Linked DNA regions of Struthio camelus. The protein of the gene in region 1 binds, or shares a complex with, the protein of each later gene. Links are inferred from orthologs where the notes say so. Each region holds a gene or a part of one and is shown in the gene's direction. Other genes may lie near its edges.

Region 1 (7,375 bases):
GCTATGGGGCACCCCATAACTGGCACCTCCAGGCTATGGGGTGCCCCATAACTGCCCCCTCCATAAGCAGCAACCCTGGCTTATGGGGCACCCCATAACTGCCCCCATGAACAGCACCTTTGCCCCATAACCAGCCCCCCCGGGTATGGGGCACCCCATAAGTGGCCCAATAAACAACAACCCTGGGCTATTGGTGCCCCATAGCCCCATACCCCCCCCCACGCCCAGCCTCACCCCATGGGCTAGTGGCACCCCATAGCCCCCTCTGGCCACCCCTCCCCCTCGTCAGCACACTCGGGGCCTGTTCTCGCTAATTAGCTGGGAGGGGGGAAGGGGGGGGCTGGGACGTGACATCAGCGGCGGCCGCGGCCCCATCAATGGACCACTGTTCCTGGCCGCCCCCCCCAAGTCCTGCGGGGGGGCCATGGGGCCCAGGCATCCGGGACGCCCCCCAGCCCACCACAGCCCAGGTGTCCGGGACACCCCCCAGCACAACACGGCCCCGGGGGCCCAGGTGTCCGGGGGTTCTCGCGGCCCCGAGCTCTGCACAGCCCTTGGAGGGGGGCACGACACAGGTGAGGGCCCCCCGCACACACGTGTGCAAGCATGTCCTCCCCCACACACACGCGTGTGCGAGAGTGACCTTCCCCCCACACATGCGTGCGAGCTGGTGTGTGCGCCCCCACCCCCCACACACGCGTGTGCGTTGCGCCCCCGCCCCAGCGCCTGGAGCACGCGTGGGCACCGGCCCCCCCCGCACACGCCTGCGCACACGCCCGCGCACACAAAGCACGCCCTGTCCGCCGGCCGTCCCGCTCCAAGTTTCCTCCCCGCCCCCCCCGAGCACGCCTGGGCCCCCCGGACTCGTGTCCCGTGTCGTCGCTCCCCCCCTGCATTGCATCACCCCCCCCCCGGCCCCACACATGGAGGGAGGTCATGACGATGAGCCCCTCGGGAGGGGACACACAGACCCCCAAGTCTGACCCCCCAGATAGGGGGAACATGTCCCCCCCCCCAATCCCGTCCCGCACGTGGGACCCACCCACCCCCCCCTTATTGGGGGTCCCCCACGCGGGGGGCAGAGGATCCCCGGCCCCCCCCAAACCTCACACCTGGGGAGCACAGGGACCCCGGCCCCCACACTTGGGGGGCGCCGGGACCCCCAACTCTGCGGGGGGGGTCACGCCCCGCCCTTCCCCCCCCCCCGCGGGGCGCAAAGTTTCGGCGAGTTCCGCGGGGGAGGGGGCGGGGCCGGGGCGGGGCCTGCCGCGGGCGGGGGGCGGGGCCGGCGGCGGCAGGGGTACGGGGCGGGGGAGGGGACAAGTTTGAACAGGAGCGAGACGCGCTCCAGCCCGGCCGGATTCCTGCAGACAATCGGGGCGGGGGGGGGGGCACCGCAGCGCCCGCCCCCCCCCTTAAGGTGGGCCGGGGGGGGTAAAGTCCGACCCCAACCTTCGCCTCCCCCTAACACGTTTCAGGTGGCACCGCGCGGGGGGGGGGCGCCCCCCCACGGCGCCGTGACCGCTAGCCCGCCCCCCCAGCGGTGTTGGGGGGGGTCACGACGACCCCCCCCTCCCCGCCCCCAGCCGGCGCCACCTTAAACCCTCGTTGTTTGTCGGGAACAAAAAAAAAGTTCCCAAAAGGCGCCGACGGCAACTTGGCGCGGGGGGGGAGGGGGGATACGGGGGGAGGGGGGACACGACCCCCCCGCCCCCTCCCCGCGGCGCCCCTCCCCCCCGCGCGCACACACAACGTGGCACAGCCCCCCCCGCGCCCCTCCCCCCCGGGAAAAACACCCCCCGCGGGAAAACACCCCCCCGGTGGGGATAAACACCCCCCCGCGGAGATTCCCCCCGCGAATAAATGCCCCCCCCCCGCGGGGATAAAACCTCCCCCGCGGGGATAAACACCCGCCTGGGCAAATAAATGACCCCCCCGGGGGAACAAATACCCCCCCCCGCAGGCGCCTGGTTATGGGGGGGCCCGGCCGGCGCCGCCGCTTCGCGCGAAGCAACAGGTCCCGGCGCCGCCAACTCCGCCGGAGCCCCCCGCCCCCCCGCCGGGGGTTCCTCCCCCCCCCCAGCGGCCCCCCCCTTTAAAAACAGTAGTAGATCCGGGCGCGGGGGCGGCCGCCCACGTGGGGCGGGGGGGGCCCAAAGTTTGTGCGGCGGCGGCGGGGGGGCAACTTTCGCCCCCGTCAACCGGCGCCGCCGCTCTTCTTCCCCCCCCCCCCGCGGCGAAATAAAATTACAGATATAAAAACTTCCCCTCCCCCCGGGTAAGTCCCCCCCCGCCCCGGGGGGGGGGCGCAGTCCCCACCTGCGTCCGCCGGCGTCTTCATGGCTCCGCGCGCTGCAGCCGCCGCCGCCGCCGGGTCGGTGTCGGGCTCGGCCCCCCCGCCGCCCCCCCCCGCCGCCGCCGCCCCCCGCCCTCCCCGCCAGCCCGGGACGCCCACGCCCCCTGCTCACGTCACCGCCGCGTCGCCATGGACACTAAGCCCGCCCCCCTCCCCCTCCCGCCACCGCCTCCCCGCCCGGCCACGCCCACGGGGGGAGGGGAAGGAGGGGGCGCTTAAAGGGGCCGCGCGGGGAGGGGCGATGGGGCAGAAAGGGGCAATGGTGTAGGAGGGAGGCACATGGGGCAGGAGGGGGCAATTGGGGACAACGGGGTCCATGAGGCAGGAGGGGGCAGATGGGGAGGGGTGATTGGGACAGTGACATCTGGGGCAGGAGGGGAAAGGGGGTCCCCATGAAGACCCCTTCTGGGATCTGGGCTGAGACCCGACAAAGCTCATGACATGCAGGCCCGGCGTGTTCCACACGCAGCCGCAGGGCCAGGCCAGGAGGCAAAGGCCCCAGCACGCGAGGCCCTGGCATGAGCGGCCCCCGTGGGGGGTAATTAACCTCCCAGGTTGTTTTGCCTCGTTTGTGCTGGCGGCTGATGCAACTCCCCAGCGCCCGTGCACCTTGCTGGGCCGCTTGCACCCCCGGCCCTTGCACGTGCCCGAGCACCAGGCCTTGCGCACACCCGTGCACACACCCTTGCACAGGGCCTTGCACGCACCCCTGCACCAGGTCTTGCACGTGCCCTTGTCCAGGGCCTTGCATAAGGCTTTCTGCGTGCCCTCACATGTGCTATTGCACGGGGCCTCGCACGCACTCTCACACAGAGCCTTGCATGGAGCCTTACACAGGGCCTCGCACGCATCCCAGCATGGGGCCTTGCACTGCCCTCACACGTGCACTCGCACGCTGCCTTATGGGTGCCATCGCACAGGCTGTCACACGCACCCCTGCACCAGCTCTCGCATACATCTCTTTGCAGGACCTTGCACGGGGCCTCGCATGCGCGGGGCCAGGGCTGAGCCGGGAGGCCGGAGGCGGCAGCGGGCGCCGGCTGGGGGCCGCGGGCCGGGGCTGGTGCCGCCAGGGCCGGGCCCCGGGTTATAAATAGGCGCCGTATAAATAATGCAGCTTCCCCGACTATAATTATCGGCTGGAAGTTTGCGGTGCAGGAGATGCATTAAGCGGCTACCCCTCCCCCCCACCCCAAATCCTGCCCATTTACCCCGGCCAGGGGAAACTGAGGCACGAGGGGCACTGGGCCCCCTCACACGAGGGCCGTGCAAAGCCCCGCCGGGCCCAATTAAAACCTTATCAGAGCCCGGCTGATAACAGGGTGGGGGGGGGCAAAAGCCGCTCTTAAAGGGGCAGCGCAGCCCGGGACCTCCCCCCACGCCGTTGCACGGCGCGCGTTCCCACCCCACGCCTGCGCGTGCCGCGTGCACGCGCCCGTACGCAAACCCCTCGGCAGTGCGCGGCACGAGCGCACAGGCCGCGCGTGCACCCTTTCCCCCCTATGCTGTTGCACGGCACATGCACGCCCCAGTGGGCCCGCCCCACGCGGGCGCAGCCCACGCCGTTGCACGGTGCACGCGACCGCCCCGCGCCGCTGCACGGCACGTGAGCTCGCCCCATGCGCGCCCGCCCCACGCCGCGGCAGCGCGCGCCGCTCGGGGCGTGCCAGTGCGCGTGCGTGCGCGGGGCGGGGCGGGGCGCGCGGGGGCGGGGCGGGGGCGGGGGCGGGGGCGGGGCTCCGGCAGGCTCCAGCGTGTCACACACGCCCCGCGTGCGCTCCTCCCCCCTCCCGCTCTCCTCGTTCCCCGTCCTGCCGGAGGCGGGCGGCGATTGGCCCGCGCTGGCACTGCCGCCACCCAATGGGAGCGCCGAGCGGTGACCTCATCCCTCGGCCGCCCCGGGGGCAGATTGGCTGGCCAGGGCCCCGCCCCCGGGCCCCACGTGGGGAGTGTGGGGGGGTGCCCGGTCCGGCCTCTGATTGGCCGGGCGTCTGTCGGCGGCGGCTCCGCTGTTGCTGAGGGGAAGCGCGAGGGGCCCGGACGGGGCGAGACGGGGACCGGGAGAGGCCGCCGGGTGAGCTCATGCATATGCTAATGAGATGCAAATGACATGCAAATGGAGCGCCCCCGGGAGGGGCGGGGGCGGGCGGGAGGGGAGCGGGGGGGCGCGGGGAGGGGGCTGCTGTCCCCTCCCCCCTCCCCGAGGAGTTGGACTCCCCGGCCCTGAGGGGCGGGAGGGGGAGGAGGAAGGGGAGGGGCCTCCGCGTGGCATGCCGGGACCTGTAGTCCTTCCCGCGCGCCCAAGCCGGGGGCGGTGCCCGCGCGGGACTACAACTCCCAGCGGGCCGCGGTGCCGCGGGGCCTGACGGGAGCCGTAGTCGCTTCCCTGCCCGGGACACCTGAAGGCAGGGGGGGCCGCTATCGCCACCTCTTGCGAAGCCCCGCTCCCGTCAGCCCCCGCGCCGCGCTGCCGGCAGGGAGAGGTGCGAACTACAACTCCCGGCAGGCTTCGCGCGGGGCATGCCGGGAGCCGCGGCCACCTCCCCGGCCTGCCAGGCGGCCGCGGAGGACCACCTCTCCCAGGCGCCCTTGCGCGCCCCTTCCCGCATCCTCGCTGGGGCATGCTGGGAGCTGTAGTTCTCGCCCACCGGCTTAGGCGGCGCCGCTCCCGCGAGGAACTACCCGTCCCGGCAGCCGCCGCGCGGCCCCGCGCTTCCTCCTCGCGCAGCGCCAGGTAAACAAGTCTGGGCCTAGCCTCGCCCCGCCCCCACGGGGCCTCCATTGGCTACTGTATACGCAGCACCTCCCCGCGGCCCCCAGCCGCGCCTTCTCATTGGCTACTGTAAGTGCCGCTCGAGGGCGGAGGGGCGGGCCGCGCCGCGCAGCTGTCCCGCCCCCGCGAGGCGGCGGTTGGCCGGCAGGAGTGACAGTCTGAGGGGGCGGGCCGAGACCGGGCCGTGCTGCGCGCCGGTTGGCCGCGCCCGCCGCCAGTCGGGCGGTTGTGGCCGTCGATTGGCCGGCGCCGCCAGCTGGTCCAGATTCATTCACCATTTTGTCGGTTGGAGTAAAAGGGGCTCGGAGGGGCCCGAGAGGGGCTCGGGCTGGACCATCCCGCGGGGGACAGGGGGGGCCGGGCTGTACCAACCTCTCCGCAGAGCGGGGGGGAGCGGGCTGCGCCAGGCTCCCCCCTCGCACGGCGCGGGGGGGGCGAACAGGTAATGGGGGGGGCACTGGGAGGTACCAACACCCCCGAAACTGGGGGGAGGGGGAAGGTTGGGACGTACCAACTCCGCCCCCTCAAAAACTGCAAGGGGGAGCGGTAGGGGGGCACCGACACCCCCAAAACGGGAAGTGTCCCAAAACCTCCAAATAGTGGGTGTCACTATTAGGGACCGACCCCCCCCGAATTTTTTTTTGGGGGGGAATGGCCAAAAGTACCCCCCCGGGAGGGGGTTGCTGGGACATACCACCCCTCTCCGGGAATGGGGGGGTTGGGGGCCCCCCGGGGTTACCGGGCAGGGGGGCAGGAGGGACCACCCCACTGGCTGGGGGGGCAGGATCCACCCAGTCTTCCCTGAGGGGGACCGGGGGGGTGGTTGTGGGGGGGTCACGGAGAGGGCAGACATGGCCCTGTGACGGGGCTCTGGGCCCGGGGGGAGAGACCTTGCTGGGCCGGGCCTGGGGAGCTGCGAGCAGGGGCCAGTGTCCCCCCTGCCAGGAACCAGTGCCCCCCAAGGGGTCGATGTCCCCCCCGAGGGACCAGGTGACCCCCCCAGGGGCTGCTGCCCCCCCCCAAGGTGCCTCCAAGGGGCTGCTCCCCCCAAGGGATTGGTCCCCCCCCACACCCAGGAGCCACTCCTGGGTGATGGTCCCCTCCTAAAGGTACCAGGACCCCCCCAAAGGGGTTCGTCCCCCCTCAAGGGGCTGTTCTCTCCCCCAAGGTGCCCCCCCATGATACCATTCCCCCCCCAGGGGGCAATTCCCCCCCCAAGGGGCTAGTCCCCCCCCCAAGCTGCCCCTAAGGGCCAATTTCCCCCCCTGATGATGATCACCCCCCTCCAGGGGCAATTCCCCCCCCCCAAATGCCTGATTCCCCTCCCAAGATACTAGCCCCCCACTAGGGGCCACCCCCCCATATTCTCCCCCCCCCCACCCCGGTGTGCCCCTATGCCACGTAGAGGCCACAGGCCCAGCCCAGGCATTTTGATGACCCCCCCTGACCCCCCACTTTAACTCTCTCCCCACAGCTCCCCGTGGCTGAAGCCCGGCCTGGCAAGAGGAAGATGAAACCGGTGAGGAAGGCCGGCAGCTCCTCCTCCTCTTCCTCTTCCTCCTCCTCTTCCTCCTCGTCCTTGTGCGGGAGCAGCGGGCGACTGCCGCCCACCGGCCGCCCCAAGGTGCCCAAGCGCCGTGCACCCGAGGGTGCCGCCAGCGGGCCAAAGCTGGAGGGCGAGGAAGACGGCGGCGGCGAGGAAGCAGCGGCAGCAGCGGTGCAGACGGATCCAGGGCCGCGGGACGCCAGCGGCGAGGAGCCGCCGGGCAGCCGCAAGACGGCCACCTTCAAGGCCCGGGCACCACGCAAGAAGCCACCAGCGGGCGAGGAGTGGAGCGGCGAGGAGGAGGAGGACGAGGAGGCCGAAGGGGCGCCCGGCCCGTCCTCCTCCGGCACCGACACGGCCAGCGAGCACTCAGCCGACGAGGCGGGCGGCCCTGGCCGGGCGGCGCTGCGGCGCCTGCGGGCGCAGCGGGTGCTGGCGCGCCGCCCCGGCGGCCTCTTCCAGCCAGCGGTGGTGAAGCAGGTGCGGGAGCGCGGGCGGGAGCTGGCCGTGCAGTTCGCCGGCGAGCGCAGCCTGACGTACTACGCGGCGGCGGCCCCGGACGTGGTGCTGGACGCCGCGCCGCCGCCAGGCACCCTGGCGCTGGGCACGGCCGTCTGCGCCCGCCTGCAGGAGGAGGAGGAGGAGGACGGCGGCTACCGCGAAGGCACCGTGGTGGAGATCGGCGCCAAAGCCACCTGCT
Region 2 (7,763 bases), on another chromosome or scaffold:
TTTTTCAGAGGCCACTACAACACGTAACTCGGCATGATGTGGTAAAATAAAAAAATGAACAGCAGCCTTTCTTTGGAATCTGCTTCCAAAGGACCTCAGCATTTTAGACCAAAAGTTTTTCTCTTTGAGTCGTACTGTAGTACTACATACTTGCTTAGTCTTCATGAATGCTTAGCTCTCATTTCACTAAATGTTAATTTGCATGAGATACTTGTGGCTTTAAAGAGACAGCATTGGCTCTCTGGGTCTGCCAATCTAATTCCCTTCCATCTGAAAACAATCACAGTCGGAGCTCTGGAGAACATCCTCAACATCCCTATTCTGATAGGGGCTACACTCATTTCTAAGAGAACGCAGAGAAAATAAAGATGTTAGTCACATGCCATTATGTTCACATAAGTGGCACTTCAAGTTAAAGAATACATTCCAAATATGTTCTTGTGCTGATCGTGTTCATTTTTAACTTCCCTGAGGAAAGTGTACCTTAATTAGTCTGCTGTAATCCAAATTAGAATTTCTCATATGTTAGAGCTCCTAAAATACCTTAAATCAACTGCATATGTCTGAAATAAAAATGAAAATAACTGCATTATTGAAAATTATCTGAATACAAGAGGGCTATAAATAGACAGGAGGTGGATTGGACAGTCGGCAGATTCTGAGTTGGAATAAAAACATCGTACTTAAGCCAAAAGCATGGCAACCGATATTTTCTGTTATAAAAATATTTGAGATGAATTTAGTTTTTATGAAAGCTGTCTGAAACTGAAATGGATAGCAGAAATTCTCTGTTTATTTGCAAGCCAGTATTAATACCTGAAGCACAAAGCAAGACACCTTAAGAGCAATGCCAACAAGCCTCTGATTGTATTCAAAAATCCTTTTTTGCCACAGGAGAAAACTGATTGTACGTTCATTCTCTTTCACAGTAACCTCCACCTTGGTAATGCCTGTCACTTGAGCAAAGTGTATGACAGGTCTGTGAAGTGGATTACTACTGTCCACTAGAGGCTGTAATGAGACCAACAATGTCATTTTATGACAAATTGAAGACTTAGACTGTAATGATTGATAATTTTAAGATTATTTTTCACACGCAGTACGTCTCTAATCACTGGATTTCCCTGGGTGCGAATGTTAAAAAAAATCCAACTTCTTATGCCTCGTATTCCCTCATTTTTCATAGTTAACTATTAATTGTATAAAATACGCAGTGTAGATGACACAGTACAACTAGTGCATTGAAAGACAGTTTCTTCTAGACAGTGTGCACCTTCCATGTCAAATTGATTAATGGCTTTTGGTCAAGAGCGCATTCAGCTGGGAGTCATATCACTTTTGGCATGTCACCAGCAGTAAATAAAAATGCTGGAGTCTACGTGTGTTCTTGCGTCCCACTCGCCACTGCAGTATCTGAGCCCCGTCCACACTGCGCTCAACCACGTGACTAGCATCTGTCCTGGATTTCGTGGCTCACTCTCTCCCCTGAGGGCAGGACAGCCGGTAACAGAATAGGTTGTTTTGGAATTTTGCTACTACTTTGGGGTCCACCCCTGTTGCTATATGCCCTTGTCAGAGGGGGCAAGGTGAGGCAGTTTAGGGCAGTTCGGAGCTGCTGTGAGAGCCCGTTTGACGTACCCGGGCTAGCCCTGGAGCAAGACCTCACCTCTTTGCTGCTGAGTTGCCTCCCTCTGCTGTGAGAACCTTCCTGGTGGCAGGTAAATTCAGGTTTATTCTCTGTAGCAAGTGACTCCTTCTCTTGGGGCATAGTCCTGCACCTCTGAGTCAATAGGCCACACTGCCTTAGTACACACTAAGCGACCTTTGCCCCAGCCAGTCACCACAGATCACATTCAAGTGCTGTTTCGCAGCCCCTTGGCCCTCAGCAGCCCTTCTGTATGTTGTGGTATAGAATAGAGAATAGCTGGAGTCCCAGTATAGGCCCTGAATAAAGGAACTGCAAAGGCACAATGACATCTCGTGATATGGTAGTATATCCTCTGGGCCAGGCAATGTTAAGGGAGGCATGATAAGGGGAGTCCCCATCTCTTTTTCGCCTGTTATGCACCCGACATATTCCCAGTCAGAAGAAGGCGAGGAACGGCTTATGAACCTGAGGTGGTTGGCTGGAGTTATGGCATTTCCCAAAGCTACGGTTTTAAGGTTGCCTGCTGGCTCAGGAAGACAATATTGCTTTGATTTCTTACTGACTTACATTTTAGGGGTCTCTTTTCAACTCTGAGGCAGAAACACAGGCAGAGATTTAGGAGCTCAGCGCCTCGTGCGTGGCAAAAAAACGTGGGTCCTGTGGCAAACACCATAGCCGCAGAACGGAGAAATAACACAAGCCTCTTACATGAGCCTGCTGCAGAAGGGAAAGTTGCCCAAAGCTTGCTTCAGCATGAATGTGGCTTCTCTTTCCCGGCGTGTGCCACACCTCTTGGCAAGGTGAGCGAGCGGCTGAGAAGGAAAGATTCCTTTCTCCTGAGGTAACACTCTGTGCAACTGGAATAAAAAAGGTGGCGGACGGGAGACTGCCGCATACTCAGACATGAACCCTGGTGACGGGGTTGCAGCTTCTCCAGGGCTTTCACTTGATTTTCAGTAATCCTCAGTCCCTGTTTCTCTCCCTTGGTTACTTTTGGTAAATCAATGAACCTTGCGTTAGCTGGTTGAAGATAATTTTGCTTTCTGCTTTGCTGCTGGATATGCGCTATCACATGGTGCTGAGTGGCAGGTTTGACCAGACATCTTGGCCTGTTGCTGCTCCTATCCCCAGATCACTCATAAAATGGAAGATGATGTTGGATTTCATAGTGAACCTGAACTAAAGATGTAGAGGCTGCAGTAGTAGAAGATTCTTACGCTTCATAAAGTGAGTCTGTATTCAGTATCTACTCTAAATCAAGAGCGCTGCAGCTTAAAATGTTATTATTACATTCTTTAGCAATTACGGTGAACTAGCACAGTTGTTTATAGAAGGGACGACTTGCTGATCAGCAGAATGACAGAGAGAGTCCTAGGGTATTTTGCATCTAACCTCTAATGCTAGAAATATCTAATGGACACATATATCTACACTAGAATCTGCTCCCTTGGAGTCTGTTGTGGTGTGGGCAAATTGGTACAAGCTGCAATGAGCAGTCTGGTCTGAATGGACATATTGCAGGGAGTCCACATACACTGCTCCCTGGAGCCTTTCCAAGGCTTGTGCATTGGTGCATCTATCGCACAGCCTCCAGCTCGGTGGAGCAGGCATATAATTGCCTTCAGTATTTATGCAACGGTTTTGCAATGTGGTGGTGGCGGGGGGGAGGCTTTCTCCATGCGGCACGTCCCTTCCTGATGCCAAAGCAGAGCACGAGTAGTTGCTTATGGACCCGCTGTCAGGTTGCATGCAAGCCTAACAGCCCTACCATCCTTTGGTTGTATTCTTCCCATTTGTTTCTTCCATTAATTGTTTTAATTTCCTTAAACTGTACCCGTCTTGGTAATATTGTGTTTTGTCTTTTCTTTTCTCCTAAAACTTGGAAGACCAGACTGAGCCAGTCCAGAAAGAGGACATTTACTTTGGTCTCCAGTTTGCATCTGTGTTTGTTGTTTGCCCATCACTGCAGTTTATGAACTACGGAGACCCATGTTGAGAGCAGTAAGGGGCTAACGAGCTGATGCTGGAGCATTGTGGAAGTGTAAACTGCCTTAGCCAAGGGGAGAGTTCGGGAGGGACTCACGGTGGTCTGTGTACAGCTGGGAGAGATGTGAAGGGATCTTGGATGAAATGCGTGCTAAGCATCTGGAGAGCCTTAGTACCCAAACATGCGTGGTTCAGCCCTGACTGTCTTGTAGTTCAGTGATGATATGAGTCAGACTCTCTTTTGGTCTGAATGAAGTAGAAGGTACTTTTTGCAAAGCAACTCAAGTATATGCCAAGGATCTGGATAAATAAAACTAATTCAGAAAACGGGAGTGGGATGCAGGCTCTTGCTCAAAAACACTTTGCAGTTCTCCACAGCGAAATGCAATATGGCATCTTAAATAAAATCACCCCTTTCTGACTCTCACAGAGGCTGCTTCAGAGCATTCCCTGGCTTCCAGCACAGTTTTATTTCCTCCCTTAGAGAGGCAGACCAGCCTTGATTGAGCCGCTGATTTTCATGCATCCCTTAAACCAGCATTCCCTGCCATTTCTGAAGGACAGCATGCTTTGCTAGTCGGCTCTTCTTTCCTTGGTAAGCCATATAGTTTTTTTTTTCCCTTTGGCCTTCCTTCCCCCCTCCCCCCCCCAAATGTATTTCTTCCTGCTTGCAAAGTGCTCGGCGATCCCGAGGAGCAGGCGGTTGTGCACAGCAGCGGCGTGCGCACACGAACCCCGCCGCCGGGAGCCGGCCTGGCCTTTGAGGTGTTAAAAAATAAAAGGGCGGTGGTGGCGGCGCAAGGGGCGACGCGGCGGCCCGCGGGGCGCGCAGCAGCCGCCGCCGCAGCAGCAGCGGCCGCAAAGGGTTAAGGCGGCGGCGGCGCTGCGCGGATGCAATAATCTGTGTGGCTCTGCTGGCCGCCTGCCAAAGCGCTGCCTTGCCTCCTCCTCCTCCTCCTCCTCCTCCTCTCCCTGCTCTCCCCCCCCCCCCCCCCCGTTTGCATGAAGTAGGATCCTTGAGCTGTTGCAGAGGCAGCCAACTGCTCCATATTTGGCTTCTGTTACACATTTACATACTGGAGAGAGAGAGAGAGAGAGAGAGAGAGAGGAGAGGGAGCGAGCTCTGTACCGCAGACATCATTTCTACTACAGTGGTGGAGACATCCCGGACCTGTGTCACTGCAGGGGGAAGGAAAAAAACCAACCAACCAACCAAACAACAACAACAACCACCACCACCTCCCCCCCCCGCCCCGAACAAGCAGCCCCAAGCCCTGTGAGCAGCTAGGAGGACATTAGTGCGCGAGTCTCCCTCTGGCCCCCCCCCCGCCAACCCCACCTCCACTGACACTTTACAGTAAGTGGCTTTTTTCTTCCTCCTCAGCTTTTTTTTTTTTTTGTGCCTTGTTTCCATCCCCCCCCCCTTTCCCTCTCCCCGGCTTCTTCCCTTGTTTAGACTGCGAACCGCCAGCGATTTCCAGCTGGAAAAACACAGGGTTGCGGGGGGGGGGGGGGGGGAGCGCACCGCCCGGGCCCGGGCCCGGGCCCCGGCCGCGGGGGGCCGCGAAATGGCCGAGCGCCGCCGCCGCGGGAGGGGGCGGCCGGGCGGGAAATGTCCTCCGAGGGGAAGGGAAGGAGCCGGGCCGGGGGGCGGGGGGGGGCAGCCCCGCGGCCGGAGTTGCTGGTGAGGCCCTCTCTTCTCCGCCCCCCCCCCCCCGCCGCACCTTCCTCATCCTCCCAACCCCCCCCCCCCCGCCGCGGCGCGGCGCGGCCCGGCCGGGGGTGTCGGTGTCTGCGGGGACGGTGGACATTTTGCGAGCCGCGGCCGCCCCTGGTGCGGCGGCGGCGGCCTCGGGCTGTGTGTGTGTGTGTGTGTGTGTGTGTGTGTGTGTGTGTGTGTGTGTGTGTGTGTGTGTGTGTGTCTGACTGTGCGGGGAGGGGGGTTGTGGTGGTGTGTAGTGGTTGGGGGGGGGGTGAGTGTGCGGCCGTTGGCGGCGGGTGGGGAGGTTGTGTGGCTGTGTAGTGCGTGCGGGCGGGCGGGCCCGGCGGGGCGGGGGCCCGGCCGCCGCCGCCGCACGGCGTCTGTAGTAGGGGCCGGGCGGCTGCCGGAGGGGTGAATGAAGCGGGGGGCGGGCGAGGCGGAGGAGGCGGCGCTGCGGCGGGGCTGTGCCCGGCAGCGGCCCCGCGCCGCCGCCGCTGCCGCACGTAGGGGCCCGGGCCGGCCGGAGGCGCCACCTGGTACTGGCAGCGCGGGGGGAGGGGGGCAGGGGAGAGGGGCGGCCGGGGCCGGGAGGGGGCCGGGTCCCCGCTGGCGGCCGGGGTGCTGCGGGAGCCCCGTCCGGGCGACGCTGTCCCCCCCCCCCGGTTATTATTATATATATTTTTCTGACTTGTTGAGATCTATTTATTTATTTGCCTGAAGCGGCGGAATTTGCCGGCGTGAACGCAGATAAATGACTCCCTCCCTCCCTCCCTCCCTCTCCCCCCACCCCCCAATCCTTGTTTTTAGACGCCTGTAGGTGCTGAAGCCGTAAAATGCGGTTCCTTGAGCATATCGGAGTCTTAATTTAAAGCGTGCTGGAAAACGTTAGCGCCGGCTGTAATAGTAATAGCGGTAATAATCAAATGACAGAATGGGGAGCGATTTACATGTTACTGAAGGGGAGGAATTGCTGAAGAGTAATAATAGAAAAGAAAACAAGTCGGAAGCCCGTTATATAATGCACTATGTAGATAACAGGAACGACGGGCTATTTTTATTTTGTTTACCGTATGCTGTGTAATAGGGACTCCTCCAAGCAGCATCTCTCCCCTGTGAGCCTGAACTCCAGGCAGAATTAGCAGAAATTACAAGGCATTCCTGTTATGCCCACACGAAGGAAGCTAGCTTGGTAAAACGTTGCTCCTTACAGATGTATTTTGTGGACGAATCAGGAATTGTGCAGGTAGGTGACCTTTGCTGGAGATCTTGTCCATTTCATATGGTAAAGAAATTTGTATTTTGTAAGGCAAGTTGCATTTAACCTTTACTGTTCATGGTAATGTATTATTTTATGCGGTAATGGTTACTTTACATGTCAGATGTGGTCAGGCATAGTGAGTTACTTCGCTTACGTGCTGGGAAGTCAAGGACTTTTAATTTCGGTTTCGATTGAAAGCTTTCATTAAAGGAAAATCCAGCCTTCACGTTAATCTATTTCTCTTTGGGTGATGAAGACAGTTCAGCTTTGTAACAGGGATCAAAGGTTGTGAATGAGGGAGAAAAGAAATTGAGACTGGTCGGGGGAAAAAATGCCGCACTGGAGTTGTTGCTGAGGTACGGTGAGAGAACAGCACGATGTAGTTTTTACGTTATTGCCCCTAATTTGTCCGTACAAACGGCCCACTGTTTTACAGGCAGCGGTGCTTTCTGGAGGGCGACTTTACTAGTCGCACGGCTTTTTTACGTAAGGCGGAGGTGGATAGATCCCCTCCGGCTCTCGCCCGTCGCTCCCGCGTAGCTGCGTGCCGGTGGCACAGGTTTCCAGGGCACCTACTCCAGCCCCCGTCGCTCCGGTAATTAGATGAGGCTGCCATGGTAACAGACGGTATTTCTCGTCCGTTCAGGTGTGCGTGCGCGTGTGTGTGTGTGTGTGTGTGTGTGTGTGTGCATGCGCGCGTGCGCCCGCTGTGTGCCCGGGCCACCTCGCGGGGCGTGCGGGTGGTATCGCCCCGTGCAGCCCGGGCGGCCCCTGGCTTTACCCCGCGGGATATCGGAGGATGCCCCTGAGCGTTTCCCTCCTTCGGCCGGAAAATATTCCTTGCGTGCTGTAGTATCAGGCATAGTATATGGTGTGCGTATCGAGTTAGCCAAATCGTCGGTTCCGCTTGTGCCGATTATTAGCGAATTAGCAGAGGTGTGGTACTTCCTTTAAAAATCCTCTTCGTTTATAAAAGCTCGCATAAAAGTTTCTTCAGAGTCGTCCTTTTGTGTTGGCTGGCTGTTTTAACCGCTTGCAGGCTGAAGTGGTTCGTAAGCTCATGAGAGTTTCTCTCCGTGCGTTAGTATTTTAGGCCACAGACCTGTAATTCTCCATTCATGTACTATACTTTACATGTTCTGACCAGTAAAATTAAGATCGGTGGTACC

The links. Proteins that work in one complex are often made in the same cells at the same time.
Region 2: the proteins of CIC (region 1) and ATXN1 are in contact, whole or in part, in an NMR structure (PDB 2M41), measured with the Homo sapiens proteins. The link is inferred for Struthio camelus from reciprocal best matches to the Homo sapiens genes CIC and ATXN1. Residues at the interface, in NP_001291744.1 of Homo sapiens: Val943, Phe944, Pro945, Trp946, His947, Ser948, Leu949, Val950, Pro951, Phe952, Leu953, Ala954, Ser956, Gln957; in NP_000323.2 of Homo sapiens: Pro572, Tyr573, Phe574, Ser578, Ile579, Ile580, Gln581, Leu582, Ala583, Leu587, Val590, Leu593, Phe598, Ser601, Ala602, Leu608, Asp611, Ser613, Phe631, Val633, Ala638, Gln639, Val640, Val642, Tyr648, Pro649, Phe650, Phe651, Trp657, Ile683.

Annotation. Positions count from the first base shown.
Region 1 is NC_090980.1:392,530-399,904, forward strand, and holds the start of CIC (protein capicua homolog), read left to right. Parts: upstream 1-4,313; 5' UTR 4,314-4,430; intron 4,431-4,862; exon of another isoform or gene 4,863-5,198; intron 5,199-5,262; exon of another isoform or gene 5,263-5,571; intron 5,572-6,603; 5' UTR 6,604-6,639; coding exon 6,640-7,375. Other genes in the region: ETS domain-containing transcription factor ERF, read right to left, coding at 2,320-2,341. UniProt on the Homo sapiens protein: Transcriptional repressor which plays a role in development of the central nervous system (CNS). In concert with ATXN1 and ATXN1L, involved in brain development.
Region 2 is NC_090943.1:99,619,837-99,627,599, reverse strand, and holds the start of ATXN1 (ataxin-1), read left to right. Parts: upstream 1-4,643; 5' UTR 4,644-4,991; intron 4,992-5,777; exon of another isoform or gene 5,778-5,872; intron 5,873-6,420; exon of another isoform or gene 6,421-6,579; intron 6,580-6,640; exon of another isoform or gene 6,641-6,955; intron 6,956-7,022; exon of another isoform or gene 7,023-7,240; intron 7,241-7,763. UniProt on the Homo sapiens protein: Chromatin-binding factor that repress Notch signaling in the absence of Notch intracellular domain by acting as a CBF1 corepressor. Binds to the HEY promoter and might assist, along with NCOR2, RBPJ-mediated repression. Binds RNA in vitro.